Pelodiscus sinensis: one gene and its partner. The main gene of each other region encodes a partner of the protein of the gene in region 2 in a complex. Links are inferred from orthologs where the notes say so. Each region holds a gene or a part of one and is shown on either strand. Other genes may lie near its edges.

Region 1 (9,244 bases), about 38 Mb from region 2:
TATTCAGCCAGCTCTCTGCACAGATTAAACACTGAATTCCAGAAAATGGGCAGCCAATTGAACTAAGAAATTATTATAAATCAGAGGAACCCAGTGAATGGAAAATACTAATTGAATTGCTCCCAGTCAGCTTCTGCACTGCAGTAATGGGTTATAGTGTAGCCTATGGATCAGTAGCCAGACCCCAAGTGGATTTGGCTCATTCTGTCTATCTCGCTTTCTGATGCCTGGGCTAGGGCAAGAGTTATATTGTAAAAATGTAGTTATAACGTAATAATCTTGAATGTGCAATCAAAATATTGAACTCCATCTTGAGAGCTGTGGGGAAGCCTTTGAGGGCATTGGTCTCAGGGGGGCTGTGGGTTCCTCAGCACCTGTCAGGATCTGCCCCACAGAATGTCCCAAGTAAGGGTGATAGAGGGTTTCTTCCTGGAACTCACAGAGGAACATATTTAGTGATTCAGCCAGCTCCATGCCAATGATAACAAGAGTCAATCAAGGATATTAGAAGAGAGCATATTTAAATTAGATAAAGGTTGCCTGCTCCCACAGGCTCTTCCCTTTGAGCCATGACATCCCAGATGGATTCTCTCTTCAAACTGCCTCCCCCACAGGTGCTCGCCCCTCCCCATATTCTCCTCTATGGGGCCTATTACCAGGCCAATAAAGGTCTCCAGGATCCCCGAGAAGCTCTACACTCCCACAGAGCACTCACTGCCACTGCTGAGAGTGTTGCCCCAGCCAGAGATCAGGCACGGGGTGCCAGTGGCCACACAGCCGGTTGGCAGGGCAATTGTGTTGACGTAGGAGTTGAGGGTGGCTTCACTGGCCAGCTTGATGAGCATGATGTCATTGTCCAGGAGCCGGGAGTTGTACTTCTCGTGACGGATGACTTTGACTGAGTTAATGAACTGTTCGGTGCCTTCTCTGACTTCTATGTTGTGTTCTCCAAGCCTCACTTGTATAGAGCTGGAAAGGAGGAAGGAATAACAGCATCCTTACCAGCACTGTCACCATCATTATCCATCATCATCATCATCACCACAACAACCTACGCCATCACTGTGGCTATTGCCACCACTACAGCTGTCATCAACACCAGCACTAAGTCTCAGTTGCTCCATTCAGTGGAAAGCTCTCTGGTTTGGAGTTCACATGCCAGGATTTGGACTCATCTGCAATCCAACTGTGCAGGGCAGTCCTGGAGCACTGAATTTTCTTTGAAAATTATCAACATTTGTAATTTTTTTACCATGTCTACACATCTCTCCCCACGCTTTACTTTTAGTTCTAACAAGGGGGTAGTAATTCCTAACTCACAAGGGAGTTCTGAGGCTTAACTCAAAGGCTCTGAGTTCCTCAGGTGGTGGTGCTGTAGAATTGAAATGTAATGTTCTTCCTGGGGGAAGAGGTACCCATGTGATGAGAAGGTTATACTTTGAAGGATACAGTACACTGAGGATGCCTACTTACTCCTCTTCAATGGGTTCCCAATGATGGCCCTACAAGGCAGCACTGAAGAAGCAGTGGGTACTGAACTATTTGAGGAGCTACGCCACAATGGAGATGTCTGACAACCTGGCACGGTACCAATCAACCATCTCTAGGTGATTTACAGCAATAGTTTAGGAAAACCCTGGTGTCCTCATCAAATCCCTGTTCCCATATTTCCCAGTGAACGAAAGATACTCTAACAAGACGGTAGGTGAGTTTTCAGAAAAGGTGACACATAATCCCTGCATGACCACTGCACTGTCACCTGGCAAAGTGCTTTGATTGTTTGATGGTGGAGAGAGGCCCATTCTGTTCACTCTTCAATCATTCTTTGTTAGTCCATCATTCTGCTTTCTGCAATTTTAGTTCACGATTGAACTCCCACAAAGCCAATTAACTCCCTTAAAGCAATCAAGAGACTTCCAGAAATTACTAGACCATTATAGGACATGCCTACACTAGAAGCTGGAAGGGCAATTCCAAGCTCAGGGAGACATTTCTGTGCTAGCTTTAATTAATCAAGCATGCTAAAAATCACAGTGGCAAGAGGGATTAGCAGCCATGAGTATGTGCCTATAGGGTTGGGTGGGAAAGTGCTTGAGCTGGCAAGCCCTTCCCATCATTTGCATCACCACAGTGACATTCTATTTTCAGTGTGTGTGTCTCTGAGCTGGGTATCATGCCTCCAGCTCAAAGTGTAGACATACCCACTGACGGTCACCAGGACAGATGACTCATGCTAGGGCATTTGATTCAGTTCTAATTCAGAAAAAATGTCACCCAATACTGAATCGTCACCTCATGCAGCACAGCACCCTCTTCTAATGCCAGGCTGCTGGTGCACTGCAGTCAGTACTGACACAGAAACCAGAGCCTCTCCTGAAATACCAACTCCATTGCTTGAAGGACTGGAGCATTCTTTGACAATCTCCCACCTGAGGTGGACTGACCCTTGCTTAGTTAACCAGATCTGACACTACAAGGGTGATAGGGCCAGAGGGGAAGCAGTAATTTAACGGCACAAATATTTTCTACTCACGATTTGTAGCAGTGAGCAGCTGAGACAACCCATCTGCTGTTAATGAGGGCACCTCCACAGAAATGGTATCCAGCATTCAGGGACACCTGGTAGGGCAACGAGTTCTTTGAACAGGTGTAGCCTCCCACTATCTTGTCATCATCATCATCAAGGGGAAAGGCAACTGCGTGAAAAAGGAAGATAGTAATTAATATGCATGATGAGGACCATGGAGCCAACCTGAATGAAAGGACAGACAATTAGGATACAAAGCCGCTCACTTGTAGGAAACTGGGAGCCAAGCCTGAGCTGATGGTGGTCAAAAGGTCTCCACAGCTGGTGGCTCTTTGTTGGTTGTTTTATGAAATCCAGCTCTGGGGCTCACTTAACCCAGCTTCTAGTGCCTATTTGTCCATATTACAATCAGGCTACGTCTACACTGGTGGCTTCTTGAGCAAAAACAGCTGTTCTTGCGCAAAAACTTGCCGGGTGTCTACACTGCACAAACATTCTTGCACAAGTAAATTTACAGTATAGCATCGGAAAACAGGGCTTCTTCCAGAAGAGTTATTCTTCTCCCCACGAGCAATAAGCCCTCTTGCACAAGAGCTCTTGCGCAAGAGGGCAGTGTAGACAGGAAACATTAATTTCTTGCGCAAGAAACCCCTATGGCTAACATGGCCACCAGAGCTTTCTTGCTCAAGAGAGCATCCACATAGCCATGGATGCTCTTGTGCAAAAGCACATGTCAGTGAAGACACGCTCTTGTGGAAGACTTTTTGCGCAAGAACTCTTCCACAAAACAGTTCTTGTGCAAGAAGCTGCCAGTGTAGACGTAGCCTTCAAACTCTGTGATAATTAGCCTGTGGCTGACAGTCTTGACAATTTTGGGGATAAAAAAGGGCTTCACTCTCCAGGGCTGTATCTACACTGGCACGATCTCATGCAAAAGTGGACACCCTTGCTCAAAAACTTGCTGCCTGTCTACACTGGCCACGTGATCTTGCGCAAGTAAACTGACGTTCTAATGTATGAAATTAGGGCTTCTTGCGCCAGAACTCTGATGCTCCCACTCAGGAATAAGCCCTTTTGCACAACTGTTCTTGCGCAAGAGGCCAATGTAGACAGGCAACATGAATTTCTTGAGCAAGAAAGGCCTATGATTAAAATGGCCATCAAAGATTTCTTGCACAAGAGAGCGTCTACACTGGCATGGATGCTCTTGTGCAAAAGTACATGCCAATGTAGATGCTCTCTTCTGGAAGAGTTTTTGCAGAAGAACTCTTCCTCAAAAGAGTTTTTGTGTGAGAACGCACCAATATAGACGTAGCCAGTAGTATACAACCTGGCTCATATAAACTTCACTGTAACAAACAGTAAAAATGAACTTACCAGCTGCTCCCAGAAAAGCTACTACCAGGATGTATTTCATGGTCTTCCTATGGATTTAATACAGCTTTGTAGACTAGAAGATATAATTTCTGGGGTTTTATCCTCCTGAATGGGCCTTATCTCCAGCCCAAGGATTTCACCAAAGGAAAGTACACAATGGAAAGTTTGAAAGTATACATTTAGGTGTTTATCAGGCACAGGTAGAAAAAATCCCACATCTCCCCAAACTCCAGAGTTAATGATGAACTTTTCCTCATTTGCAGAGGTATTTTTTAAATGATTACAGGAGATAGCTTTCAGTTTAAAAATGAAATGAGAACTTAGGTCAGTTTTTCTTTGATTTTATTCCAGGTTTTGTTAGTGCACAACAAACCTCAAAGCCTTTTGAGAGTCATCTGTCAGTAATCATGCCTTTCTGGAATGTGCCTTTTCTTTCCAGAAGTTAAGAGTTCTCTATGTAGGGTTTAAGGTCCTATAAATTGGAATTGGAGATGATCTATTATTAGGTTGTCTCTTGACCATGTAGTTATCCTGGCCAATACAGATTTATTTGTATCCATTAGAACATCAGAGTTATGAACACCAGAGTTACAAACTGGCTGGTCAACCACACACCTTATTTGGAACTGGAAGTGCACAATTAGGTGGCAGAGACTAAAAAAAAAAAGAAAATATTATATAGGACTGCGTTAAATGTAAACAACTAAAATAAAGGCAAAGCTTTAATAAGAGGATGGGATAAAGTAACTTTGTATTTGATTCATCTAAATTAAGATGGTTAAAAGCAGCATTTTTCTTCTACATAGTAAAGTTTTAATTCTGTATTAAGTGAATGTTTAACTGTGAACATTTGAAAGAGATGTAACAGTTTGAGCAGAATTGTGAGTTTTTCTGTTAGGAATAATCTCCATTCCTGAGGGGTGTGCAGCTCTAATTTACTATCCCTGTGGTTGTTGTTATTTTCCCACTTCTAGTGGTAAATGAACCAAATTATGGAGCTTTCATAATTTCATGTGGGAGACAACTGTCCACTTACGGATTTTCCTGGATTTATTAATCCAGCCAAGAACTGTGTCTCAGCTTGGATTTTTAAATTTTTGGGGGAATGTTCTATAGAAAATCAATATTCCAATAAAATATGGAACTCCCAATAATAATATATATACTATTATAAAAAGTATAAAAGTGTCCATCACACTGTCTGTTATAGAGAACATTTGAGAATACACTGGAAAGGTACAATATGATAAGCTGGGCTGGTGGCTACCATTTGCTCCTCTCCCACCCCCCACAACAGAGCAGGATGTGAGGATGTGGTGGATAGGTGGGGTGGGCACAGGAAGACCTGCGGGGGCACCAGCTTGGGGAGCCGAGGTAGGGATGAGCAGAGCAGGGCGGGCAGGGACTTACTTCCAGTGCCACCACTCACAGCATCTCCCACTTCTATATGTCCCTGGGCCCAATATGCCACTCGGAGAAGTCATTGTGCTGCAGGTGCTGCCCCCCGCCAACCTCTGCTGCTCCCGCCCCTCCACCTGTAGGACAGGTCACCCCCAGGGTGCAGGACCCTGCCCCGTGAGCCGCCTACCCTAGCAGGCACAGGTCTGAATGATACCACTGCCCCCACAAGGTCCCTGCCGCACCTGCCAACCACTTGCTGAGGAGGCATCCCAGGGGCAGCCTGTCTAGCAAGTGGGGGCAGTGTGGGCATCAGAGTATGGCGGGGAGGAGGGAATGCCTCACAGACCATTGAGCAGCTGCTGCCGTGGCAAAATGACTTCTCTGCGCACACATCAGGCCCTGGGACAAAGAGAAGTGGGAGGTGCTGCAGGAGTCCCTTCACGCCATGCTCCGCCTGTTCCTCCTTCAGCCCCCCAAGCCAGTGTCCCCTGAGTCTTCCCACACCCTCCCCTCCCCCATGCTGCCCACGTGCCTGCCTCACCTTGCCGCCACATCCTCACATCTCTGCCACCTCTGAGACTGTTGCACTGCAGCCATGAGGCAGAGATCCGCTAGTGATAAATTAAAAAGGAGTAGGGAAGGGTCATCAGGTCTACCATATAGCTAGAAGGGAAACTAAAGGTATTTCCTTTTAAATTGATAAAAGTTAGTTTTAAATAATTAGCTTGTAAAACTCCCTGTTGCAGTGTATTCTTGAAACATATTGCTTAGGGCCCAGTGTTACTACCTTAATAACTTTTTTTGTGAGTAGTCCCATTGATATCAATAGGAGCTGCTGCACTTTTGAAAACAGTTCACTAATCTAAGTGCATAAGTATGGATTTGGGAGGTTTAACTTTGTGACCATTTTTAAAAATCTTTGTTAGTGTGTTACTTGACTCTCATCATGTGCTTAAATGAATTTAGAACATTATAATAACAAACCAACATCCCTGCCTGAGAGGAGAGCTGATTTGTGCAAGGACATTGGCCACCCAGAGATGAAAGTGTTTGTTGATGCAGCTGTCAACTCTCCTGAGTTAGTATCTAACTACCATGGGATGATAGCAGGTGGTTGTTGGCTCAGGATAATCCCCAGGTGGTTATTGGCTCAGGATAACCCCATGGAGACAATGCTATAGGGAGCAATCCTACACTGGCTGGGGCTGGAGTGGGAGGGCATTTAGAATGTGATACTAACAGGAGGGGGGAAGAGTCCAGGAGAGCTGGCAGTATTTTAGAGAAGCTTTATTGAAGGTGCAGGAACAAACCATCCCAATGTGCAGTAAGAAAGGCAAATATGGCAGGTGACCAAGTTGGGTTAGCAGTGAAATCCTTGGTGAGCTTAAACACAAAAAGGAAGATTACAAGTGGAAACTTGGACAGATGACCAGGGAGGAGTATATATATTGTTCAAGCATGCAGGGGTGTAATCAGGAAGGCCAAAGCACACTTGGAATTGTAGCTAGCAAGGGATGTGAAAGATAAAAAGAAAAGTTTCTACAGGCATGTTAGCAATAAGAGGGTGATCAGAGAGGGTGTGGGGCCCTTACTGGATGGGAGAGATAACTTAGTGACAGATGATGTGGGAAAAGCTGAAGTACTCAATGCTTTTTTTGCCTCTGTCTTCACAGACAAGATCAGCTCCCAGACTCTGGGCTAGGCAGCACAGGGTGGGAAGGAGGCAGCCATCAGTGAACAAAGAATAGGTATAAACAGCTATTTAGAAAAGCTTGATGTACACAAATCCATGGAGGTGGATCTAATGCATCCAAGGGTGCTGAGGGAACGTGTTCTTGTTGAACCTCATCAGACTTCATTTGGCCCAATCCTTCATTTTGTCTAGGTCACTCTGGACCCTGTCTCTGCCCCCCAACATATCGACCTCACCCCCAGCTTGGCATTATCCACAAACTTGCTAAGGGTGAAATCCAACCCCTTATCCAGGTCATTAATAAAGATGTTGAACAAAACCATCACCAGAACTGACCTTCAGTACATTCCACTTGAAACTGACCACCAACCTGACATTGAGCCATTGATTCCTACTAGCAGAGCTTAACAAACTAGCCAGCTTTCAATCCACCTCACAGACCATTTATCCACTCCATAAATGTATCTTACATGCTGGCAAGAATTCAATGGGAGACCGTATCAAAAGCTTTGCCAAAGTCAAGGTATATCACATCCACTGACATCCCCATGTCGACACAGCCATACTCATGGACATGCAAGTAAATAAATCACTGGCGGCCAGCTGGTGAACCTCCTCCAGCTCATTTCCCACCACTGGGTCAGAGCGAACAACTGAGAGTTTGGATACCCATGTTTATTTCCTTCTGCCAGAGAGGAGGGAATTGAACATGGGATGCCCACATCCCAGACAAATGCGCTAACCACTGCAATACAGGTTTAAAGATCAGTAATGCTAGCTAGTTTGGATTTTTTGTGAGGAGTTAGATAGCCCCTGAGCACAACTACTGGACTGGGCCCTGCATGATCTTCTCAGAACCCTGGATTCAGCTAGCTACTTCTGTGTTGTCAAGGAGCATGCCATGCTATGAAGTGCCCAAAGTAAGGTAGTCATGCTCATGCTTAGAGGCAAAAATTTAGGAAATGTGATTATGAAAAACTCCCACATCTCTCTAGTACACTTCCTCCTGACAGAATTCAGAAGATTCCATGCAGAGATTCTGAAATGCAGAAATTATTAAAAACTTCCACATCTCTCTAATACATTACTTCCTCCTGAGAGAACTCAGAAAATCTTGCTCAACTAGAAGATCAATATCAGGCAATGACAGAGCCTAATAAACACTGAAAATCCTATATAGTCTCCCAGCTTTGAGAACTCCACAGCTGACAGTCAATTGTTCATCCAGTGATCTCCAAAATGCAGTTACACATGGGATTTGGATCTGCACAGCATTGTGGGTAGGCAGGTGAAGGAAGATGATTTCTACAGGGAGGGGAGCTGGAAAGAAAGGGAAGCTATAGATCCAGGAAGGAAGCTCTCAAGGAAAGTAAAGAAAGATCTCTCAATGGGAAGGGAATATTTATTCAAATGTACTCAAAGAAAAGCCTGAGTGACAAGGAATTAATATTTAAAAAACTACTAATGAATTGAAAACTAATTTACTAAATAACTGGGTGTAGCTTTTAAAACAAAGTCAATCAAAACGCAGATGGTATCTCTGCATTTCCAAACAGTCCACAGATTGTGAGGAGAAAATTCTGGAAAACAAAAATATAAGATAGCTGTGGTTCTACACTAATATTATTTCAATCACTCAGTGCATGGCTCAGTCAATCAGGAATGGAAGGAAAGAATAACTTCATCTACATTGCTGGGGGTAGAAAGCAGTAACATGAGTTAGGGTTTGCCCAAGAGCACATCTGGATCTCTCGTATAAAGTGCTGAAGAAATATTTATGACCTGAGTGCTCAGGAAACCGTTTTGCATATCATCTGAAGCAACATTTATACATCATTTCAATTCGTCCCCTCCCCAGGTTTTCATTGGAGAAATCATAGAAGGGAGAAGATGCTCAGTCAATTCATCACTTCCTGTCACCTTCACAAAAACCAAGAGATAAACCAGAGAGAAGAATAAAATTCACTAGCAAAAATGTTGAGATTCCTGCTGCTTCTAGTGCCTGGTAAGAACCTAGAAATCCCACCCCAAGCTGGTGCACAGGCAGAGCACAACTTCTCTAGAGATATGCACAAGCCAGCAAGGAGCAATCCTACACTGGTGGGAGGAGGGAGGGGAGAGACATTTAGAATGTAACTTAAAAGACTGTATACACCTTTAATTTGTTTTTTTTTAATTGCTTCTCTCACATAGGCTCTGGGCTGGGAGTCCTCATCTCTCAGTTCCCAAGAACAGCAACCCAGAGA
Region 2 (8,777 bases):
AACTACAGTATATACCCACTTGAACAGCAAAACTTCAGAGTTCTTATATTCATTCTTCAGCTGACTTGCTTGATAGATTTCAGTTATCTGTAGAAAAATATATATAAAAAAATTCTGAACAGTGGTTGGAAATATACACAATTGCACCTAACAGTTGTGATTTCAACACTGCTTTCCCCCTGAGATCTAGGCTTGGGAAGTCCACAGGTTTCTATGATACTTGGCCAATATGCATGTAAATATTTTGAGTTTTGATTGAACTCAGAAACAATAACCTCTGTCACAGATGAAAGGGAAAAAAAGGCACCAATCACAGAGATGGCCAAAGTTTGGGATTTCCAGTTTGTGGGAAATATTGATATTTTGAAATTTGGTTTAATTCTGATTGAGAACAAAACCAAGGTTTTTTTTTCTGAACTCCCTGCACATTGGGGGTCCAATGCAACCATAGGCGGTTTTTGTGTCAAAATGAAATATGTTGCTAGAAGTGACTGAATGTGATGTTTTGTCAGTTTCACTGCTACTATTCAAGTAGCAGTGGTTAAATGGACAAGAATCATGCCAATTGGCATTGAGGAGAGGGACCAAGGGATCCCAGTGTTCTTGGCCAGCTGTATTCCCTGGCCAATTTCTGATGGAACCGGCTTGGATTTGATGAATCTGCAGGAAATTCCCAACCTGTTATAACTGATATTGGGTGAATTTTGGAAATTAATACAGTTAATGATGTATCTGTTATAGCCTCTTGTATTAACCATACATGTATAGACTCTTACCAATTGCTGAATATCGAAGGCAAGGGCCTTGAAGTCAGCTGATGAGTTGTCTTCCAAACTAGGGCTGAATGATGCTCCTGACAGTATTTTAAATGTTCCTGTGGCTGCATGACTGTTTTCATTTACTTCAGTTGGAATAGTTAAAGAAAAACAAAAGAGCGGAAATATTGATTTATGCAGTAATGTAAGCAACAGTTTGCATTTGACTTTCCCAGTAAAGGACATAATACAAAAATTGCTACTCTCCTTTCACTTTCAATTCAGAACTTTTCTTTGCATTGCCCTAGTTTCAAAAGAAAGTCAGATTCTTTTCAGCTGCTTAAAGACACAATTTCACAATGCTATCATGTTTAAATCCATACTTTTTTTCCCCATCATCCTATTACTTTCAATTATATCTTCAGTTCAGAGCTTTCCAGAACCACTATATTACCTGCTGAAAGAGGCAATGACTGGTCAGCTTCCTCCAGTTAGAGCAACTGACAGATACTAGTGAAGCATGGTGGGCAATAATCTGTTAAAAGTTTGTCAGTTCTTGGACTATAAGCATCAAGACCTCACACTGTTGCCTTTCTACAATTAAAAGCTCTGTGAATTTCTAAAGGAACACACAACCTTTTGAGAGGCATCTTTGAAAATACTGCTTTCACTGAAGTAATTATTATACAGTCTTTTCTACCAGAATGTATATGCTTGTGTGGGTGAGCTTCAAAAAAGTTCAAACAGGAACTAATTCAGTGAAAATCCTATGGCCTGTGGTATGATGAATATCAGATTAGAAGATCGTAGTGGTCCTTTGTGGTCTTATAATCTATGAAGAAAATTATATGAAAGTAGGTAACAAGGGCTAGATCCAGAAAAGGAGATAGACACCTCACTGGCACTATACCCCCCAAGTCCAACGTTTAGGTACCACTGAGGTGGTCAAGCCTTCTGTCTAGCTGCTGCCTAACTGTTTAGGCATCTAAAGTCTCTAGAGCAGCTAAATTTTAACTGTTTAAGTGCCTAAAAATCTGCTGGTGAGCATGCACACAGATGCTTATCTGACATGTAAGTCCTAGCAGGATCTTCAGACTAGATGTTTCCCCACCTATCTCATCTGCAATGCAATCTGGTGCAGGTTGTACCCCCCTTTAACTGGGACTCCCTGGTCTGGCAACATTCATGGTCTGGCAAGAGGGAGGTCTGGCGGAGAGGCAAGAGCACCATAAGGGGCACCAGTGACTCAGCCGGGAGCCCAGAGTGGTGCAGGGAAAGGGTGGATGGACGGTATGGTGGAGAGTTCTGGCCACAGCAGAGCTCCCTGGCCCCAGCAGCTCGGGGCTCTAGCCTGGATGTGACCATGGACCGTAGCCCCAGCCAGAGAGCTCTGATCACAGTGGCAGCTAGGGAGCTCTGCTTCAGCTGCGCACCTCTGGCCATGGCGCTCCTGTCCCAGCAGCATTAGGGCCAGGGAAAACCTGGGGAGCAGCAGGGACAGGCTGGAGCTCTAGCCCAATAGCAGCCTGGATACAAGGGTGGGACCTTCCCTGGTCCAGCAAATCCCCTCATTCAGGACAAGACATGTCCCAAGGATGCTGGACCAGTGAGGTCCAACCTGTAGTACCAAAAAATGTTCATGGCCATATGCCCCTTATAAAGATTTTGCAAAAAAGTATTTTAAAAAGAAACACAAACATTAACTTGATTTATTTCTATATTTTCTCTTAGAAAACTCATTGAAATCTCTGTGACATTTTGTTATTTCAGTGAAACTACATTTCCCTATGGAAAACTTATTAAAATAAACTAGCACTGATGGTGACTGTAATCTACTTTGACTATTAAGGACTTGACTATGCGAAATGCTGAGTACTCCTACTACCAGTTGAGTGTCTTCACATCTGACTATCCCCAGTGTTGGGCAATAAAGGCACCATGAAGGATGGCCCTGGAAATCAAAATGATCACATAAATGACTACTATTATATGTCTCCGAAAAAATATGATCCCAAGAGGTGGCAAGCGCTTGCAAGATACATGGAAGTCAATGGATGCTCACTACTACACAGGATCAAACCAGAAGCTTGTGACACAGTATTCCAAGTAAGGACATTTACAAAAATAATGCAGCTTACTTTAATTGAAAAACAAACATAAAACAAGCAGCATAGCTTTTAATTTTTCTCTTGACAGATCTGATCAAATATCATTATCTTTACTATTTAAAGTCCAGGGTCCTGACCCAAATCGCACTGAAGTCAATAAGAGTCGTTTCATCAACCTCAGTGAACTTTGGATCAGGCTTGAAATGCTTCAGTTTTTATGTATCTCATTTGTTCTGATTGTCAGTGGGAAAAATAGTAATGCATCTTTTTAAAGCAGCAGTGGTAACAGCAAAGCATAAAAAGTAAAACATAATTACAGTGGCAACAGTTGGCTTCTAAGTCTGAACAATTACCAGGGAGCTCCTTTAAAGGTTAGATCTTGACTACTTACCTTGTTGTGACTCCTTGATTAGTAGCCATGAAAGTGTAATTAATCCAGCACAAACACACACAAAAATTGCAAGCAGAGCAGCAAGCCAGATTTCAAAGTCATTAAGAGGGATACCTCTCTTAGATAATGATTTTTTCAGATTCATTCCCAGTTAGGAAGTTTATATCAATTAAGAATTGTCACAAGAAACATAGAGAGCAGCGATCTATGTGAACAGATATTTATAGGAAAAATTTGTAAATTAATTGCACCATTAATCTTCATTTACGGTCAGTCAGTATGATGTAGTTTTGATATCATTCCTGAATGGTTACATCAATGTGCAGTTTATGCTGGTATAAACAGAACGCAAGAGACTCATCATGGAAGATGATAATAGCTGAGATAAAAAATACATATGCAAACAAATACCCAAAGTTGTAAATGTTAATCAACAGCTTTGTACAATCACCTGCCATATGCCAATTTTTATTTGAAAAAAAAAAAAAGTTAAAAATTAAGTTTATTGCAGCATAATTTACTATTTTAGGGAATAATTACCTAGAAATAAAACTGAACTTACCATTGCATCAGTAAGAAAAAAAACCAAAGTAGCAGGTTGCTCTGAGCAGTGGCAGTTGCTTGAAGGGCCCAATCCTGTTTCTGGTTGAGTTTCCCTAACTTCTCCTGAAATGAATACGAGTGAAGTGTGTTTAGCACCTCATTGCAGATACTCATTGTCTCATGAGTTTTAAGCGTTTCAATTTTTTTATGTTTATTCTAAATATTCTTTTTGCTGGACCCTTTTATTAATTTGTTGCACACAAATATTTCTGATAATATTGTCTAGGTTAATATAAATTGCTCAAAAGTACTTCTGTAGTGTGCATGAAGGCATCTAACAACCACACTAATATTGTTAGGACATTAACTTAAAGAAGTCCTTTAAAATAGCAAGGGTACAACGATCATTTAAAACTAGATTACTAAATTACTAAAAGTTGTGTGAGCATCTAATGTTTGTTTCTAATCAGTGGTCAAATTAAAAAAGAAATACTTTGTACTGAGCTGGGAAAGGGCTTCCCATTCACTTCCTGGTCCTGCTGATGCTGGGGGGTTCCAGCTGCCACCTGGCCCAGCCACAGCTGGCCCAGCCAGGGCTCCCCTGCCCTGCATTCTCCCGACTGCCTCTGGGGCCCTTTGGTCCAGCAACATCCATGCCAGACCAGAGAGTTCCAGATTTGGGAGGTTTAATCTGTGTAAAAAACAAAGTATTAGCGCAAATCTAGCCAAGAAGTATAATGTATTGTGTGGGAAAAAATACCTGAGCACTTTCTTTGTTCGTCATCTAACAACTCTTCCATCAAAGTTGTCAAGAGTTCTGCCTGCATCAAGTTTAAGTGAATGTTGAGGGAGGAGTTATGGGGGACTAGGCATATAAATATTCACACCACTATCATTTTGCACATTTGAACAAGAAAAAAGAATAGCACCTGAAGACTTTTTTTGAATCATTAATTTTGGATTGATGCCTACACAGTAAACTAGTGGCCTCATTATATGAGAAGTAGCAGAGACTATAATAATTTACAGCTCAGTTAATTTTGTCAAGCTATGTATATGTTTAGATTTACTTATGTTTGGACCAGGACATAAACTTGCAAGTGCTCTCTTCAATTCTGATCATGATTAGTATAAAGGAACTAATTTCCTAAATATGTTATTTTCTATTCTGAAAACTAGGTAATGGTGGCAATAATGAATACGCAATCTCCAAGACTAAGTCAATAATGAATGCAATGTCAGGTTTCATAAAAGTGCATTATTATTGTTGTTGTTGTTGTTCTTATTATTGTTGTTACAACTACTACTACTACTACCAGGGCTCAACAATTAGGGCAATCTACTTACCTGTGGTGAGTAGAATTTAGCCCGGCACGGCGCCGCAGCATGATCAGCGCATGTGCAGCGTGCCAAACCGCGCGGCTGGTGAGTGGGGCTCATCACTGCTTGTCAAGCCCTGACTACTACTATATTGTTTGTAACATAAAACATTGTGATAAGGACAAATTGAGAAATAATAATAATAAGATAACCAATACTTTTTTTTCTCAGTTTTAACTAAATACCTTCAAGACTTTGGAACAGACAGATATATTTTGATATAATGTTTGCTTAGCAGTGGTATCATATCAATGAATAACTTCCTTGGTACATTGTCCACTCACATTCACCCAACTAAGAAGCTTTTGCCGACACTCTCCCATTACATTACTACTGAAAAAGCACTTAAAAAAATCCCTCCAAGCATACATTTTTCAACATGAAAGTTCACAATTAAAATAGTGAATTAAACCCTTTTGCCTGCCAATGGAATAGTGAATGTTACAGCATCAGCTCTTCTCGCCATGAAATTTCCTGCATGATTTTAATCAAGTAAAGAGCCAAGTTAGAAAGCCCAGGGAGAGCTTAGTCAAGCACATACATTAATCTTTTAACAGAAGTTGGATGAGCACAATCTCATTGTGACACTGGCAAAGGGGGTGCCTGCATTTGCTAAGGCTTTAGGCCTCAGCCCAGCACTGGCAAATGTATTGATGGAAGCCAGTCTGTTTCACCTGCATGTTAGTATGGTCAGCATGGGCATTGATTGTATAGCAGTGTGTTTACTGATATTTTTGTTTACTAGTAATGTCAGAAAAATCATCTATGGTCGTTTAGAAACCAGAATTCTTCAGAATTTTCCTCTTCTTCCTTTGTATTTTGAATGATACTCCAAAAGTCAAAATGTTCTATTTTGAAAATGTGGCACTGCATCATTTCTAATCTTTTTTTCTCTTTGTAACAGAAATAATTAAGTGAAACCAACACAAATTAGCAATATGTTTCAGTTTATCTTAATCTGTTCTTTTAATTAAAAAACAATTTCAACTGAACAATTTCATCCAGTTTGAGTTACAAACAATATTTTTAAAAATATTGTAATTTAAAAGTGTGTAATATTTAATTGTTATATGGGCAAATATTATGCCCATCTCCATATTCAAAACCAGAGAGGAAAGGACAACTTTTTCTAAAAAAGTGACTTAGAGTTATTATATCTAAGAATTGCTTGACTGACAGCTTTTCATTATCAGTTTCACTCTCACTTGCCAAATTCTAGTTCAGGCCATTTGCAAAGAAATATATTAGAATTCAGTCCCACAAGATTGACAGTACCATCACTTTACATTATGTCAGTGTCATCTGTAGACCAAGCAAAATTTACAGTCTCTTGTCATGTATTTATTTTCCTTTTTAATCATACAACTGCATAGGGCAAAAAGGGTGCTGACACAGAAAGAGGGGAAATGCTGTGTTTAGATAATTCCTCTAATACTCATTCTATGACAAACACACCCAAAGCCTGACAATCTGTTAATCCATCGCTGGGAAAATTATTTGGTTAGATTTTCAGGAATGCCCTCCATTAACAAGATGAAATGAGATTCACCTTCCTTGTGGCAGGTGTTTTCAGATATGTAAGTATATTTTGTAGTGCAGACTGCTGTGGAAAGAGCTGGAAAACTACATCTAGAAACAGACCAAAAGCTTATTTTTGCTCATGCTTATGCACCAAGGAACTAGCATTTTAAAACAGAACTCAAGCACATGTGGGAAGGAAAAAGCCCCACAAGATTCTTAACTCCACCTACAGTATGAGTCACCTCCCTTGTTTTTGGTAACCTAAAGGACTATGTTATTCTGTATTAGTGTCTCTCTAATGCAAATTGTTCTCCTCACACTTGGCCAAGGGCTATCAATGGGAATGAGTATAAGAGGGCATCTTCCCCAGGCCTGGTGATTTAAAAGGGCCTGGGGCTCCAGGCCTTCACTGCCACTATCGCGGCAACCCATCAGTGTCTGGAGCCCCAGGCCCTTTAAGCTGCAGTTCAGGTGGCACTGAGGGCTGGCTGGGAGACACTGGCCTCAGCCCCTCTCTGCCTGACCAAGTCCCTACTCCTTCCAGGGGGTCTGGAGCTGAGTCCTTCCCACATTGCTCAAGGCTCAGTGAAGTCTTCTTTTGGATGTGTTGCTGCAAGCCTGGCAGCAGTTTCTGCAGGCTGCCTCACAGCATCTGCTGCAGCCCAACTCCCACGCCATCATCCGGACCCACCTGGGGTATGTGGAGAAGCAGCTGCAGCTCCCGGACGCTAGTGTGCCCCTCGCTTCTGGCGTCTGGATACCAGCAGTGACTGGTGGGACCACAACGTCCTGGAGAGGTGGGGAGATCAACAATGGACCCAGAACTTCAGGATGAAGAAGGACACCTTCATGGAGCTCTGTGAGTGGCTCACCCCTGCTCTGCAGTGACGGGACACACACATGAGGCCCGCCATTCCCCTCCAAAAGCACGTGGCCATCGTCCTCTGGAAGCTCTCCATGCCAGATAGCTACCAATCGGTGGCAAACCAGTTTGGCATGGGGAGATCCACCGTCAGAGCAGTGCTCATGCAGGTATTGCAGTCTCTGGCCACCGTGCCAGGAGGGGGGGTGCAAGGAGGGGATGGGCTGCTCTAGGAAAAAGGGGGGGGAGGAGGTGAAAGTCCCCTCTCTGGGAGGGTTTGTTCTGTCCCGCCCACACTAAGGACTGTGGGTGGTGGCCAGGATTGCAGAGGGGGTTGCTCCTGAAGAGTGAGGGAGCGGGGCAGTGGTGGGGAGGGGGCACTCTCAGTCACCTTGGCAACCCAGTGACACTCGGTTTTGTGTGTCCCTCTGAAAGTGGTCAAGGCCATTAACAGAGTGCTGCTCCACAGAGTCATCCACCTCACTGATGTGGACGTGGTGATCAAGGGATTTGTTGGTCTGGGCTTCTCCAACTACGGGGGGCAATCGACGGGACGCACATCCCCATCTGTGTCCCAGACCACCAGGCCTCCCTGTACATAAGCTGGAAGAGATACTTCTCCATCATCCTGCAGGCTGTGTCTGACCACCAGGGCCTCTTTGTGGACATTAACATGGGCTGGTCCAGCAAAGCACATGACACGAAACTCCTCCACGTGCCAAAGGCTGCATGCCGAGATTTTCTTCCCTGACCACCACATCAGGGTCAGGGACGTGGACATGCCTGTCTGCCTGGTGGGGTATGCAGCCTATCCCCTACAACCCTGGCTCATGAAGCCCTACATGGGACACCTCAACCCTTCCCAACAGGCCTTTAATGCCAGGCTTGGCAGGGCCCACATCGTGGTGGAGGGTGCCTTCAGCCATCTGAAGGCCCATTTTAGATGCCTCCTAATCTGCCTGGACCTCTCGAGTGGAATATTGCACATGTGGTGGAAGCGTGCTGTGTGCTGCACAATTTGCATGAGAGGTAGGGGGAGGCTCTCCTGCCAGGCTGGATGGCAGAGGCCGACCACTTGGCCGGCCTGTACATGCAGCCCCAGGCAGCTGCCAGCTGGGAGGTCCATCGGGGGGCTGTCCATATCTGGAAGGCCCTGCAGAAGAGTTTCCAGAGGGAGGAGGACTAAAGTCTCCCTGGTGTGCCCCACTGGGGGCTTG

The links.
Region 1: the proteins of TMPRSS15 (region 2) and cationic trypsin-3-like are in contact, whole or in part, in a cryo-EM structure (PDB 8ZIV), measured with the Homo sapiens proteins. The link is inferred for Pelodiscus sinensis from reciprocal best matches to the Homo sapiens genes TMPRSS15 and PRSS1. Residues at the interface, in NP_001414986.1 of Homo sapiens: Tyr276, Thr277, Ile279, Trp297, Glu298, Leu316, Glu318, Asp320, Glu321, Ile369, Gln370, Ser372, Phe374, Pro376, Phe377, Ala389, Gly399, Pro400, Gly401, Gly402, Arg403, Glu405, Glu432, Asn433, Lys485, Ile486, Leu487, Val513, Pro514, Thr515; in NP_002760.1 of Homo sapiens: Phe18, Asp19, Asp20, Asp22, Lys23, Ile24, Val25, Tyr45, His46, Phe47, Cys48, His63, Cys64, Tyr65, Lys66, Arg68, Ala91, Lys92, Arg95, His96, Arg101, Lys102, Leu104, Asn146, Tyr175, Phe188, Leu189, Glu190, Gly191, Gly192.

What each region holds. Positions count from the first base shown.
Region 1 is NC_134711.1:136,339,300-136,348,543, forward strand, and holds the start of cationic trypsin-3-like, read right to left. Parts: upstream 4,064-9,244; 5' UTR 3,945-4,063; coding exon 3,905-3,944; intron 2,697-3,904; coding exon 2,534-2,696; intron 970-2,533; coding exon 716-969; intron 1-715. UniProt on the Homo sapiens protein: Has activity against the synthetic substrates Boc-Phe-Ser-Arg-Mec, Boc-Leu-Thr-Arg-Mec, Boc-Gln-Ala-Arg-Mec and Boc-Val-Pro-Arg-Mec. The single-chain form is more active than the two-chain form against all of these substrates.
Region 2 is NC_134711.1:173,914,906-173,923,682, forward strand, and holds the start of TMPRSS15 (enteropeptidase), read right to left. Parts: upstream 3,400-8,777; coding exon 3,251-3,399; intron 889-3,250; coding exon 777-888; intron 88-776; coding exon 20-87; intron 1-19. UniProt on the Homo sapiens protein: Responsible for initiating activation of pancreatic proteolytic proenzymes (trypsin, chymotrypsin and carboxypeptidase A).